Astyanax mexicanus: one gene and its partner. The protein of the gene in region 1 interacts with the protein of each later gene in a pairwise test. Links are inferred from orthologs where the notes say so. Each region holds a gene or a part of one and is shown in the gene's direction. Other genes may lie near its edges.

Evidence for each region.
Region 2: the proteins of rel (region 1) and polr2l interact in binary tests that used the Homo sapiens proteins (3 or more experiments, as listed by UniProt). The two-hybrid records come from large-scale screens. The link is inferred for Astyanax mexicanus from reciprocal best matches to the Homo sapiens genes REL and POLR2L.

What each region holds. Positions count from the first base shown.
Region 1 is NC_064414.1:37,478,580-37,486,355, forward strand, and holds the start of rel (proto-oncogene c-Rel), read left to right. Parts: upstream 1-4,762; 5' UTR 4,763-4,841; coding exon 4,842-4,848; intron 4,849-5,575; coding exon 5,576-5,596; intron 5,597-7,041; coding exon 7,042-7,181; intron 7,182-7,302; coding exon 7,303-7,451; intron 7,452-7,776. UniProt on the Homo sapiens protein: Proto-oncogene that may play a role in differentiation and lymphopoiesis.
Region 2 is NC_064423.1:9,009,378-9,016,393, reverse strand, and holds the start of polr2l (DNA-directed RNA polymerases I, II, and III subunit RPABC5), read left to right. Parts: upstream 1-4,016; 5' UTR 4,017-4,121; intron 4,122-5,306; 5' UTR 5,307-5,328; coding exon 5,329-5,423; intron 5,424-7,016. UniProt on the Homo sapiens protein: DNA-dependent RNA polymerase catalyzes the transcription of DNA into RNA using the four ribonucleoside triphosphates as substrates.

The sequences.
Region 1 (7,776 bases):
TTTTTTTTTTTTCTTTCGTTTTTTTCTTAGGGCAAAAAGTTGTATTTCAAAACGTATTTTTGTATGTAATGTATTCTGCCTCCTTTAAACTGAGACCATAAAATTTCACAAAACCCCATCAACAGTGTGTTTGTCTTTACTGCTCATCTGTTTATAGAACTCTGTAAATTCCATTGTGTTGCATTGGAGAGTATATTTCCCCATAGGAAGTTTGGTGGAATAATACTTTTCTGCTCCTGCGCTGGACAGTGGGCCGAAGGAAACCTCAGGCACTCTGCCTCTGAGAGGAAAAGACAAGCTGTACTTAATCTGGCAGCGTGATTTAACCATTAAAACCCTTTCACATGGTGCAAGAAGTTTGAGGTTGTGGTTACTGGAAGTGAAGGAAGGAGGAGAAAAGGATGGGTAAATCCATGTATTACTTTGAAATGAGAATAGTAGTTAGTGTTTAGTTTATTTCTTAGGTTAAAAGTAATAAATTAAATACTGAATATGTTTTTTTTTCTTTTTCGTGTTCGGGAGAAAAGGGGGAAAAATAGTTTTCAGTTAAAGCTACTTGTTTGAGGACAAACCATCGCTCCACTTGATTGTTGTATTTGTTTATTGGCTGAGAAAAAGGTTCTGCCTTGATTTTGACTATGTAGCTGTAGTTCTCTAGGTGTGTAAGTGTTTAAAGTCGCCAATTTTCATTTTCTTTACCTGACCAGTCCGCTGGATCTTTATTACTTCCTTGTTCGTGTTTGCTTTCTGGGAGATTCCCATTCGCCAGTGTGCGCAAGTGACGTGGCGAGGGGATTCCCCTTTCTTATGACGGCGGGTAAGAGCAGTGATCCAGTCCCCCACAGCCGGTCCACACCTACTACTACAGCCCCCTCTAGACCGCTCAATTAGCGAATAGCCTGGATGGATTCGGGTACCGCAATGTGAAATGTAGCACAGGAGGTGATTGCACACATGGCTCGTGCACTGTCGGGTGAAAAATGCTCTTCAGATATATTCTTGCTTTTTTGATTCAAGAGGCTTTTATTATCATTTCATCTAAGTTCAAAGTGAAATGAACCAAGATGCAGCATGGAACAAACAGTACTGTATAGACGACAAAAATGCAAACGTGCAACAATAAAAGAGCACCATTTTAAAATGGTGCACTTTTATTGTAGATGTACATTCTGAGGTACAGCATATAATTAAGGTGCAGCTGCTGATTACACTAGAGGTAGGGAGGTAACAGCTTAATATTAAACTAGAAAGTTCTAGTAAATCGCCTAGACCCTCAGTTGATCAAATCATTTGATTTTACCCCACTCGCATAACGGCCTACTTAAGCTACTTTATTATCACCTCAAGACTATTGTAAAAGCGTTCCAAGATGGAGCCATCTTTAATAAAGGCTATAAATTTATGAATATTGCGTTGCTGTTGTGTTTTATTATTGAGTCTGCATTTTAGTCAGCAACATAGCTAAGGCCATAAAGCTAGATAGAAATGCTGTTCAGTTCGTGGCTGTTATAATTAAATTACAACTTTTTTTTCTGTCGTTTCAATAAATATATATTTATTTATTTTATATATGTTTAGGATTATTTCTGCTTGGTTCTGGTGCTCAACTCTATGAAAAATCTCCTCTAATTGCTCTTTTTCAAAATAATAACAAACCTTTTTTTTTGTGTGTGTGTGTGTGTTTACATGGGGAAAAAATCTATTATTTTAGGAAGATATATTAAAAGAAAGAAAGTAATGCAAACTCTGCATCCTAAAAGGCAAAGTGCATACAAAAAAATAAAATGTTCATTTTTGGTTTAATTACATCTTTTAATGTTGTTGAAGAAAAAATGCCAAATTGCCATTGGTTAATGTTGAAAGTTCTACATTAAATCACCATTCATTTAAAGGTAATAACAAATAATTGTTATAAATATTTAATGTAAATTTAAAGTGTTTAAGTAAGTTTAATGTAAACAATACATATTAAACCAAAATGTTGGCTCAATATGAAATTAATGTGCACAAATATCAAATCAATTGTTGGAGGTCCACATTGTTTGGAAGAAAATATGAAGATTAATCCAATGTTCATTTGCCCTCTCGGTTACAGTCTATGAAAAATAAATGTATAAATCTGATTATTAACTCATTTTTAACAGCCCTGCATCTAATCCTCGTTGCCATTATTGTAGTGTTGTCAGATAAATATGTACTTTGACATTTTTATTAAATAAATAATTAACGTTACTTATAAGTATCCTTACAAAACACACTTGATGAATACATAAAGCACATTAAAAAAAGAATCATTTTTTCAGACATATTTAGGCAACTTGTTAGAACTTACATCATGTGCTGTATGTCATCTAGCCAGTCCATCTCTCTCTCTCCCCTGAAGTCTTGTACAAAACCTACATTTGAAAGTTTTACCCATAGACCTGTACTTATATATAAGTATTTATACAAAATCTGTGGTTTCACCCTAATTGTGGCTCAAGCTCCATTTTGATTTTAAATGTTTTACATGAAATTGTTAAATTACCTGAAACAGTAAGTCATTTCCAGCAACCGATAATAGACATTGTTGTCAAATCCTTGATTCATGTGTTCATTATTGGATCCTGTATTATATTACTGTGCATGTTCTCAAATTTCTTATGACCCATACTGCATATGCGCTTTCACAGGCCCTGCTTAAACCAGTATCTGAGTTCAAGTGGCATTTCAATTGTTCTTGACACTGAATGTAATCACAAAATATTCCCAGCAGTGTGTTAACTTGTCCCAAGTGTTAAACCACCCCACATCCATATACAGGATATTCCTGCAGCAAAGAAGGGGCACACATCCTACTAGCAAATCTTTAAGAAACAGAGCAGCACTCTTGAAGATCACTCAAATGTTCTTGGGAAAATATGGTATGAAAAGTGTAGTTGCTCATATGTTCTGAGGAAAAGTGACCAGCAAAGGTCCAAACTCATTAAACAGTGTTGGTTAGTATGGCATGGCACAGACAGTCAAGGCCCTTTTGTAAGTATGTAAGGATAATGCGTGGATAACTGCAGTTCAGATTTGATCGGTTCCTCACACATAGGCCAACAATTGAATCTGCAAAACACAAACATTAGTAGTGAGTAAATGGTATATATTGTCGTATACATAAATCAACTGTAAGCCTTCACCCTTTGGCAAGCTTTCTGACAGTCTGTAAACATGATTTAACCATACTGATCATTCCCAAATGAAAGGAGCAGGAGCAAACAATAGGTTGTGTGAATGTAACCAAGAACTAACAATAGGGAGAATATAACACTGTTAGAAAACAAAAGAATGCACAGTTGTGTGTTTTATTAATAAAAAAAGTTGTTCTACCCAAAATTACTATAATAAAAAAATCTGACACAGAATAGGTATTATTTGGGTGGTGGGTCATTCTCGGCATTGCAGTGACAATGGACAGCATCCTTTGAATACTAAATAAGATCTCCAGCGGCACTGCTGTGTCTGATTCACTTGTACAACTGTGACACACACTAATACTCCACCATAAGGTCAGTGTCACTGCACTGCTGAGAATGTCTTAATATGTTGTGGCCACAAGTTTTTGTTATTTTTTTTACATGATGTCACTGTAAGGGGCGCCATAGTAAAACATTTGTATGACATTAGAATAATTATAAAAATATATAAATACACAATAGTTAGTAATCAGATATGTTGTTGGTCAGTAAAGTTATTTATAGGCTGAGTATCAAATTATTTAAAAGAATTAGCTTTGCTGAAGAACTATTTGGTTGGTTTGGTTGGTCCTTCAGTGAAGGACAAATTGGATAAATTAGGACGTGGAGGATAACTGTAAATATTCAAGTCTAGTCAAATGAAGTAGTTTTATTGTCAAAACTGCATTTGTACAGGACATACAAAGAATTGAAATTACATCACTCTCCTTCCCAAAGTTACAACAAGTAAAGAAAGTACAGAAAATAAGAATATAAATATAACAGAATGAGGGGCATTAGATGTACAATACAACAAGGGCACAAATACGTATGTGAGACAAAAGACACAAGACAATAGTGCAATAGTGATGGGGAGGGGGGGTTAACTAGGGATTGATGATACAGTCATATGAAAAGTTTGATTCTGATTAAGATTAATAGGGGTGCCCAACCTTTTTCATTTGACTGTATGTATAAACATAACCATTATAACAGTAGTGCAAATGTAGAGAAAAAAAAATTAAAAACCTAAGACTGGTAAAGTGAACGAGTGCATACAGTTCTTCTAAAAAATGCACAGTTGTAGGGGGAATTGAAGTTGTTTAAATTATTTTTTACAATTAAATTATTTTTGAAATTAAAATTATCATATTAAAATTATTAGGAATTAAAATTGTTAGGCCTTCTCGTGGTTTATTTAAACCCAGCTTACCTATCAGATAAATAGCTTTATAGACAATTTTGTTTAGTTCTCATCATTTTTTAATTATTTAGATCTTTATCAATGGACCAATAGAAAAATAAAATATTTTTTATTGATTTCTACTGATTTTTTCAAGCCTTTAAAAGTTTTAAGCTTTTACGTTGCCTTTTTTGGAGAAACGTTATGCGTTTTGTGTGATAGCGATAAAACAAATACATTTTAATCAAAATAAAATCCATTTTTTTAATGAAGTGCTACGTATAGTCTCCTGTGTGTGTGATTGGCTATGGACGTGCGGGGGGGGCGGAGCCAGGCGGCGGGGGGAATTCCCAAGCGCCCTTCACCTCTGGAGTAACACTTCACTCATTCACTTCTGAACATTCACACACACTCACGTACACACACTGATCGCTGCAGCAAGGGGCTCCACTAGAATGGATGGTGAGTTACAAGCTATTAATTAATTCACGCCTTTTAACAGCTTTCCTAGAATAATTATAATATCTGTGATATATATTTATATATAATAGGAGTACACAATCATCCAGACTGAGAGCTGTGACTAGTATAGCCTGCTGTTTTTGTTTGGTTAATGGATGTGATATGGAATTACATGAAGGTGTTAAACAGTTTTCAGTCAGAAGGTTAATGGATGGGGCTAGATTAAGATTTCTATGTGTTTACGTGTTTGATTCTAGTAATTGTTTTGTTGCTAGATAGCTTGTTACTTGTTGTAACTTGAATAACCAGTTCTCATGTGTTAAATTACTGATTGCTGCTTGTTTCACAATGTTTCAGAGGGAGTGTCGACTAGAAACAGTATGAAAACCAATCAGTGCATATGTTGTGTATATTATGTTTATAAATATAACTTCCTGACAAATTATATTAAAAATAAAAAATAAATAAATACATGAATAAATAATAATAGTAATAATATTTGATGGTAGAAAGTAAGCTGCCATAAAGATTTGACTAAAATCCATGACGAATAGGCTAGTCTAAATCTGCACCAGGAAATCAAAATGAGGAACCTCAGACTACTGGTTTTGACTTCAAGTTCCCATTTGCAGTATTGTCAGCAAATGCCTTGATTTTGCACTTGATTTTTCAGCTTATTGTTATTATATAATGTCCTGAAATATTTTGTCCTCTTTTTTTTGCACAGCTCATTTTCCCCCAATGAACAGTAAGTTCATATCATTCTTTTTAAAAAAGTGTAAAGCTTTTCTGTACAGCCAGCATGCTTATAACTATCTTATAACTATAACTGCCTTTATAACTTTCTTTTCTTTGTCTGCTTCCTTAATTTCTTTATTTCTTTTTTTTGTTCTACCACGGTTTGGGTTGCTTGGTTAAGGTAGTAGAGTAGTAGAGTGACAGCCACTTCCTGTCTATATGTGTGTGTGTGTGTGTGTGTTAGATAGCAACATGCAGAGCAGGTAGAGCAGAAGTGAGTACGTGAGGTCAGCTCAGGTAGAATATATCGCTGTACAACACAGTTATAAGGACTATATAAGGTCTGTGTGTATATACGTAGCTATACGCAGCTATACACAGAGCAGGAAGAGCAGAAGTGAGTGAGTGAGTGCTTGAGGTTAGCTCCTAGGTAGAAGATATTGCACAGATATTACACACAGCTATAAGGAGGCTGTCTGTGTGTAATTTATTCAGATCAAATCATTCTCATCCTCGTAAGTACAGTCTTAGAATTGTACAGGCCTGAAATGTGCTGAAATGTGAGTACAGGCAGTCACAAGGCAGACTGTCTTATTTAGACATCTGCACATCTGTATGACGAGAGGAACCTTACAACAGGAGCCGTGAGAGCCCTGAGTGTCATCTCGTGCCACACACAGCTGTGTAGTCTGAACAGGTGTTTAACAGAGCTTCGACAATCATAATCATCCTTTGTGGTCCACTGTGGTCCACTGAGATGGGAGCACTTGTGAGAAATACACTAGCAGGTGTAGCCGAAGGGGAAATTATTTGATGTGAGTTGTGTGTTGGCAGTGGTTTGAGCAGATTCTGAGGAATGTGCTGTGGTCTGCAGATGTTTAGATGTTTACAATACAGCGGGTCTCCGAACAACCTCAACATTTCTTCTAATCAATATTATACTGTCTGCCTGCTGTCTGCTTATCTGACTTGATGCTTGCTTAAAACCTGTCCATAATTAACTATATATCATAATCTTTGCCCTTATTCATTTTTTTTTTACATAAAAAATAAAATGTTTTAGTTCGATGTAGATTTCTTTATTAGTCAAGGCACTTAAAGGTACAATAAGTAGTTTTTCTGAAAAAGACATGTTAACAAAAACAATGTTTACCAGCCATAGGGTCTGCATCACATCAGCTTAAAATAAAGCAAACAAACATGTAGCAAAATTCTACATATTGCACCTTTAATAATAATTATAATAATGTAACTTACACAATAGAAAAGAACATAATGAAAAAGAAAAACAGATTACTCGCAAAAAGGAATATGGGGTGATATGTGGCTATTCATATGGATGGATCAGTTAGTTTCTGTGCCTTCTAAAATTAGCTGATTAAAACTGTTGTATATTAATTCAGTCAATACTCACTGCCTGACTCCCGTTCTCTTTCTTACCCTGTCTTTCATTAGTGGGAGAGCCCTGTGTTCAGATCTTTGAGCAGCCCAAACAAAGAGGCATGCGCTTCAGGTATAAATGTGAGGGCCGCTCAGCAGGCAGTATACCTGGAGAGAAAAGCTCTGATAATAACAGGACATACCCAAGCATTCAGGTACAGATTATTATTATTTTTGTTTTAAATAAAGATTTCTCCAATACATTACTTCACGATTTCTCTGTATATTGACCATTTTTCTAACTAACTACTAAATACTTTCTTTATTTCTTGTCAGATTTTGAATAACTGTAGAAAAGGAAAAGTGCGTGTGTCTTTGGTAACCAAAAACGAGCCCTACAGGCCACACCCACACGACCTGGTGGGAAAAGACTGTAAGGATGGCTACTACGAGGCAGAGTTTGGACCTGAACGCAGGGTGATTGCGTAAGTCAGCACTAGCTGTTAGCTAACTCATGAAGGCTGAATTAAAACATGCTGAATCGTAATGTTTTATACATTATATTTACTTTACACTCAGATGAAATTGTACTATAAATGAAGGAGTCAGTAGACAATGTTTAAAAAAAATCTGTTAACTAAAAAGATTCACAGTTTTTTTCTTTTTAAATCTCCTTTTGTCTTGTTGCCATTTTTTCCTAATGAAGTTAAAGCATTACTGAGCTCTACATCAAAGTCATTCCTGTCTGCCTCTTCTCTTTGTGGAGCTTAATGTCAGAATACCATACACCCACATATCCACACCCACACA
Region 2 (7,016 bases), on another chromosome or scaffold:
GCAAAACAAGTATTTATTATAACAGCTGGTACCAGGAGAACACAAATGAGCGGTCGTTGACCGTTCCCCGATATGCTCTGAACCCCCGTCATCTGACTCCCATGTTTTAAACCCAAAATGACGTGAACACCTGGTGATGAGGCGTTGCTGAAATTATCTTATGTCAGCATGCATGGTGTTATGTTGTTAGGGCTGAAGATTCGCTGATGGCTCAAGATTTGCTGGTGTTTTGGCCTTGGAGAAACAGCACGGCTTTGTTCAGTAATTAGACAGTGTTTCACTCCCTGCGCACATGTCCTCCCTCACTTGACAGGTGAAGGCCTTCACGCGCACAGAGAGAGAAAGACTGTACTGTTTGTCAAACGTCTTTTGTATTTAAGCAAGGCCATGCAGAATGCACTATCTGCTGATTTTGTAGCTGTTAGTTAGAAAACATGCAATCACACAATGTGGTTCAGTGAGGCGTCAGTGGCGCGTGATTAGTCAGCCATATAATAGGTTCCCATACGTTAGCAAAAACTCCCTTATGTTATGTATCATGTGGGTTAGTTTGTCAGACTAAGGTCTGTGTCAGTCACATGCTTGTGAAAAACAATGTCTTACTATATGTGTGGTTTAGAGGTTAGTTTTCTATATAAATGTGTAAAAAATATACTGTGAGCGATAAAATGATCAAATATAGTGTTAGTATAAATGTGTGAATAATATGTGAATAATAAAATGATCAAATGTGGTGTAAGTATTGGTTAATGCATATAAAATACAAGGTTTTCACAGATGGTAAGTAATCATGATTGTTAGGTGTTTGTCAATATATTTCAAGGTAAACAAGGTTTCTTCGTAAGATTTCCCACAACAGTGTTTGAAAAATACTCAAATGTATTAGTCAGAAAGTAAAATAAATTACAATGGGAAAATTCTACCTATTTTACTCATTTGTAAACAGTAACAACTAAAACTTAAAAATGTATAAGAACATATACTCAGATACTATCGGTCCCCTGTGCACTTGTTGTGGAGTTGAGCTGCTGTTTTAAAGGTAAGATTTGTTAACATGTTTCTGTGTATGAGCTCAAAAGTTGATGTATGTAAGTATTAGTTCTATATTAAGATCTGTACTCAGTGTGCTCGAGTATAACGATGATTTTCACCTTCTGGCACAGGCTGGCTCTTGTAGCAGGTTAATTATTAACACATGTAGCCAGTGCTAACCCCTCTGTTCAAGCAAAGTTAGCTAAGTCTAGCTAGATTTACTGCTCAGCTGCTCAGCCCTAATAATAAACTGTAGCGCTATCTAGCAGTTTACAAAGTAGCAGTGTGCAGGTTCGTGGTTAAAGCGTTAGTTACTTTAAACAAGCTAGTTATCCACTACATGTTGTATTATTGGGGAAATATGTACATGGGCATGGTTTGCATATAGCTAATGCTAATTAGGTAACTAGCTTACCTAGCGCATTCACTGTTGAACATAATATCAGGCTTTTGACTCTTTGTTTGTTTGTTTCAAGACGAGTTCTATTGTCGATTATTGACGCATGTTTTAGTCAGTATAACAGGGTAGAGGTCACTGGTATAGCTTTTTGCTTCCAAATAAGTGAAGTTCGCAGAGGTTCTCACTCCCAGCTGGATAAATTAACTAGTTACTTTGCTAATGCTAGCTAATCTAGGTTAACTAGCTAGCTAAAGCATTTGGCTAGCGTGCTAATTTGTTGTGTGTAAGAGGTTGAAGACTGGATAAATTAACTAGTTAAATTATTTTGCTAACACTACCTTACCCAGCCTAGGTTACTTAGCTAGCTAAACCATTTGGCTAGCGTGCTAATAGAGAATAGAATCGTGATGTCAGCAGACATGAACAACGCAGTGCATTGTGGGATTTTAGGAAACTGATACTATGGCAGAGACAGGCAGAAATATATCTCTATATATATATGGTGATTAGTGGATAAATTAGCAGAGTTAATTTAGTGTGTGAAAGTGGAAGGTGGTTGGATAAATTACTAATCTAGGTCGGTTAGCTAACTTATCCAACCACCACCCTCTTCCACACACCGAGTTAGCTAGTGTGCTAGTGAAAACACTTTCCTAGTGAATTAGCTAGCTAGTTTAGTGTGTGGAGAAGGGTGGTTGTTAGATAAGTAAGATTGTTAACTAGCTATCAAGCTGGATAAGTCATTATGGTGATATTTCAATAGGTATAAGAGGCATGCACAGTGTGCTGGAGTTTCAAAAATAATTATGTTGCTAATAATTAGTAATTCCAAATGCACAACAACCCTTTCATTACCAGTGATTTTCTAGTTAAATAGCTAAGTGGTAAAAAGTTGAAACATGCTAGTTTTGTTGGTGCCAAGTTCTGCACTAGTTTTAGAAGCAGAGACTGTAGTTAAGGAGCTGGTTGGCAGTTTAAGAGTGACATTTACACAGTCTGATAAAGTAACTGAACTAATAATTTCAGTTGTATGAAAGTAAATGTGGACTCTTCTCTGTCTGCAAATCTGTGTGTGAAGGTCTAAATGTTCTTTCCTGTGTTCTTTGGGTATACCAGTTTTCATAAAAGATATATAAACTTTACAAACCATTTGTAAATGTTTATGAAGAGGCTGCCTGACTAAATTGAACACTGAATGATGTGCTGAAGCATAAGACTGTTTTTTGTGTAACTAATAATTATGAAGTAAAAAAAAAAAGTCCTGAACATAATGTTTGTTGCAAGGCCATACATTTTCTGTTGATTTAGTTCATTTGCAGCACTGCTCCTCACTCAATGCTGTGTACAAGCCAGCGTTTACAGACCCGTCACAAATTACTCCCTGCATCCTGCACTTAAACCCACCAGTCCAATAACATGTAGCGCTATAGGGACGATTTTTGGGACCTAGCCCATTTACTGGTGTATCTTGTAACATCAGTAGAATTCTCTTTGTCTATATTTCACACCTGATAGTTCCTAGATTGGCCTTTTCTATTCCCATCTCGGGACATGCTTTTCACTAGAACTACAATTCCCAGCAAATGAAAAAATCTCTTTTTCATGCTCTGCAGAATTCTATAACTGTTGTCTTCTGTTAATTTCCATGTGTATGTAAGACTGTTTATTGTGTTGTTTTTTTGTGTATTGCCTCTGTTTATCCAGCATTCTCTTATGGTTTATATTTTTGTGTATTGCCCTCTTGAGAATTAAATCCTCATCTACTTTTTACCGCAAGTATCTGACGTCAGTCAAAAATTATACAATCAGTTCTACAGAAATCACACACTAATTCTATTACTAGAATATATCTGTCTGTTTTGAATTATCTGAGTGTAGCTCACAGCAGCAGAACACATTCAGTAATAAATTATTAATGATGCACTTATACTAATGAATCCATTATTATTAAAAATGTTAGTATGTCTCTAGAGCTCTAAAGCAATATAGTAAGAATATTATATCCTGTGTCGGTTCTAGACCATTTCAACACGGGGGCCAGTGGTCTAGGGCCAGTGTGCTATATGATTTTACAGTGCTTTGCAGCATTAAGAATAAAGAGTTTGCATTCAGTATCATTCAATTTTTAATTTAGGAATGATTCTTACGTTATTCGCTCATATTTCATACAAACAGATGAACAAAAATCATCGTTAAAACTTTTGCTTTGCTTTAAAGTGTTGTACCTTTTTCTGTTTCATACACAATTTACATCAACAAATCAACATATTCTCAGTTTTAAGGTCAGATTATATTTTTACATTATTTATATATACATAATTTGCCTAGAATAAAATGTAGATATTACAGATGTATGAATTCCACTGATATTAGAGTTATTTGTTCTGAGTTACAATATATTTTCCAGCTACACTAGTTTTAGTTCAGTTTCTTACGTTTTCTTTTGTTACACTCATTGATTAATGCGTTTATCTGTTTCAATAAGCTTTTATTTTGTTATAAACTCTATATTTTCTCAAACTAGTTTATTAGTTAGTAGTTCATTTAGAGACTCAAAACTGAAAAAAGACTTTTATTTTGATAGAAAATCGTTTTGAGTGCTGAGGAACGTTGTGTTTCCGGTGTTGTGTTTGAGTCCGGATATATTTCTGAGGAACACCGAGTGTTGAGCGTGGTGGCTAAAGTGCGGGTGAGTGTTTATAATTATTATAATATTTGTAACATTTTACTGATAATTATATTCAGTATTAAACACAGTCCGTTGCAGCGCAGTTCACTCCGCGGGTTTAGCCCGGCGAGATTTACTGTGGACTGGGGTAAAATGCGGAATCCGTTAAAGTATTGTGTACTAATCTACATACCGTACTTACACAGATAACTAAGTTAACTATGTAGGTACTATCATTAATTCATGACTGTATTCTTTAATTCATTTATTTACTCTTTTATTCATTAATTTCCTCTAATTTATTGGTTTATTCTTTCATGTATTAATTTCCTATTTTATTGATTAATTTAATCTCTTATTCATTAAGTTACTCTTTAATTCCTTAATTAGCTTTTTATTTATAAACTTGTTCTTAATTAATTAACTTGGTCATGCTCTGTAACTTAATTTTAAGCGCAAAATCATAAGTCTCCTTCACTAGAGAGAGACATATTTTTATACACATTTAGCTACTGTTAATTTACTGAATTTAGAACATGTTATAATTAAGTGTATAAAGAAATAGTAAATAGATGCTGTGTCTAAATGGAAAAAGCCTTTTTAATTAAAAAAAAAAAAGATTTCTTCACCTTGCCCAAACACACGAGAAGCATGTTATTATAATTATTAGTGTCTCACAGAGAATTCTAATTTAATAATATAACACAAATGAAAATGCTTTTAGTGTATTAAACCAAGTTAGCAATAAAAATGCAAAACCCAGTTCTACTGATTATTCAAATCTGTTATATTTTAATTATAGCACTGTATTAAAAATGTTCCATTATTCAAATTTCAGTGAACTATGGTGTGTGTAGTAGTGTTAGAAATTAAGAGTATTAGAAGTTGAGTTGCTTTGAACAGTGCTTTAGATTTCCATACAGAATGAAAGGTAGATATAGATTATATAGCTGCATCTTTCTTACATTTTCTTTTTTTTCTTACATTTTTCTTAATCTTGTTAGTATGACTGTTTACCTTTACAGATTGGTCTATTTAGAAATGTATTCTGTTTGTTTTAGTTCAGAGAACATGTTGAAGGAATTGACAAAGTATAAATAAAATATGGAGACCAACAGCCCAAAGTAATCCAGTTCCTTACAGATATCACCTGTGGCTTCCAGTACTTTAAACACTAAAATTAATTTGATTTAATTCTGATTCCAGATTAACAAAGCATCTCTTCAGGATGATTATCCCAGTGCGATGCTTCACCTGCGGGAAGATTGTGGGCAACAAGTGGGAGGCTTATTTAGGTCTCCTTCAGGCAGAGTACACAGAGGGGTGAGTGTTGAGTAGAATGAGCTGCTTTAGAGAAATATAACACCATCGATATCGTCACAGGATTTAATATGCAACTATTTACTTACATGCATTTCTTCTCCATGAATAGGTTTAAAATAAGTTTTTTTAGACTTTTCCCCAGAACATGTGTAACAGTGTCTGGGGAGGTGGATCTTTTACCACCACTGTGAACAAAATGTAACTGCAGAGGTTCTCTAAAACTCACCGTCTTACACCAAACCCATTTAGGATGGGTAACTGTTTAATAATAGTTCTGTACAGTGGCGTGAAAAAGTATTTTGCCCCCCTACAGATTTTTTTTTGTTTTTGCTTTTTTGGTCATAGTGTGATTTTTCTGATTATCAAACAAACTTTAATATCAGACAAAGATAAGTAAAAGTAAGTAAGGATAATTTTATTTAATAAAGGTAAAAACTATATAAACCAATCTAGCCCTGTGTGAAAAAGTGTTTACCCCTAAACCTAATAACTTGGTTGTTCCACTCTTGGCGGCAACAACTGCAGTCAAGCTTTACTGATAACTGGCAACGAGTCTTTCACATCTCTGTGGAGGCATTTTGATCCACTCTTCTTTACAGAATTGTTGTAATTTAGACACAATGTAGAGTTTTTCCAGCATGAACGGCCTGTTTAAGATCATCCACCAGCCTCTAAACGAACTTTGACTAGGTTAACTCAAAACCATTGTTTTTTTTGTGAAGCCATTCAGAGGTGGATTTAATTGTGTGTTTTGGATCATTGTCCTGCTGCAGAATCCAAGTACGCCTGAGCTTGAGGTCACAAACAGATGGCTGGACAGTGTCCTTCAGGATTGTCTGGTAAACAGCAGAATTCCTGGTTCCATCTATTACAGCAAGTTGTCTAGATCCTCACATTACCACCACCATGTTTTACGTTCAGTATGATGTACTTTTTCAGAAATTATGTGTTAGTTTTACACCAATTTATTGGGACACACACTTTCCAAAAAGTTCCACATTTTGTCCTGGCAATCATTTAAGATGTTTTTTGGCAAATGGAAGATGGGCCATTGTATTCTTTATGGTCAGCAGTGTTTATTGCCTTGGAAATTGGAGACCATTTTCATCCAGTCTCCTTTTTATTATTGAATCATTAACACTGACCTTAACTGAGGTAAATGAGACCTGCAGTTCTTTAATAGTTTTTTTTTTTTCAAGTCAAGAGGCTCTTATTGTCATTATATCTGAGTACAGGTACACAGTGTGATGAAATTATGTTCCTCCGGAACCATGGTGCAACATAGAACAACAAGCAATAGACAACATAAAGTGCAGGAGTGACGACAGTGCAACATAAAATTATAAAATTATAACACTAAATAACAATAAATACAATAAATACAAAGGACAAGACAATTTAAAGACAGGACAGTGCAGTACCGATACGGTATAATAAGTGTATAGTGGGGATAAGGTGCGGAGATGTGTGACATACTGTAACATATAGAACATATATAATCACAGCAGTTACTGAGGTAGAGTTTATAGTTTTTAAGAGTGCAGCAAATAAAGTCATGTCAGCCTCTGTGTGCTGACTGGGTGTGTGTGTGGG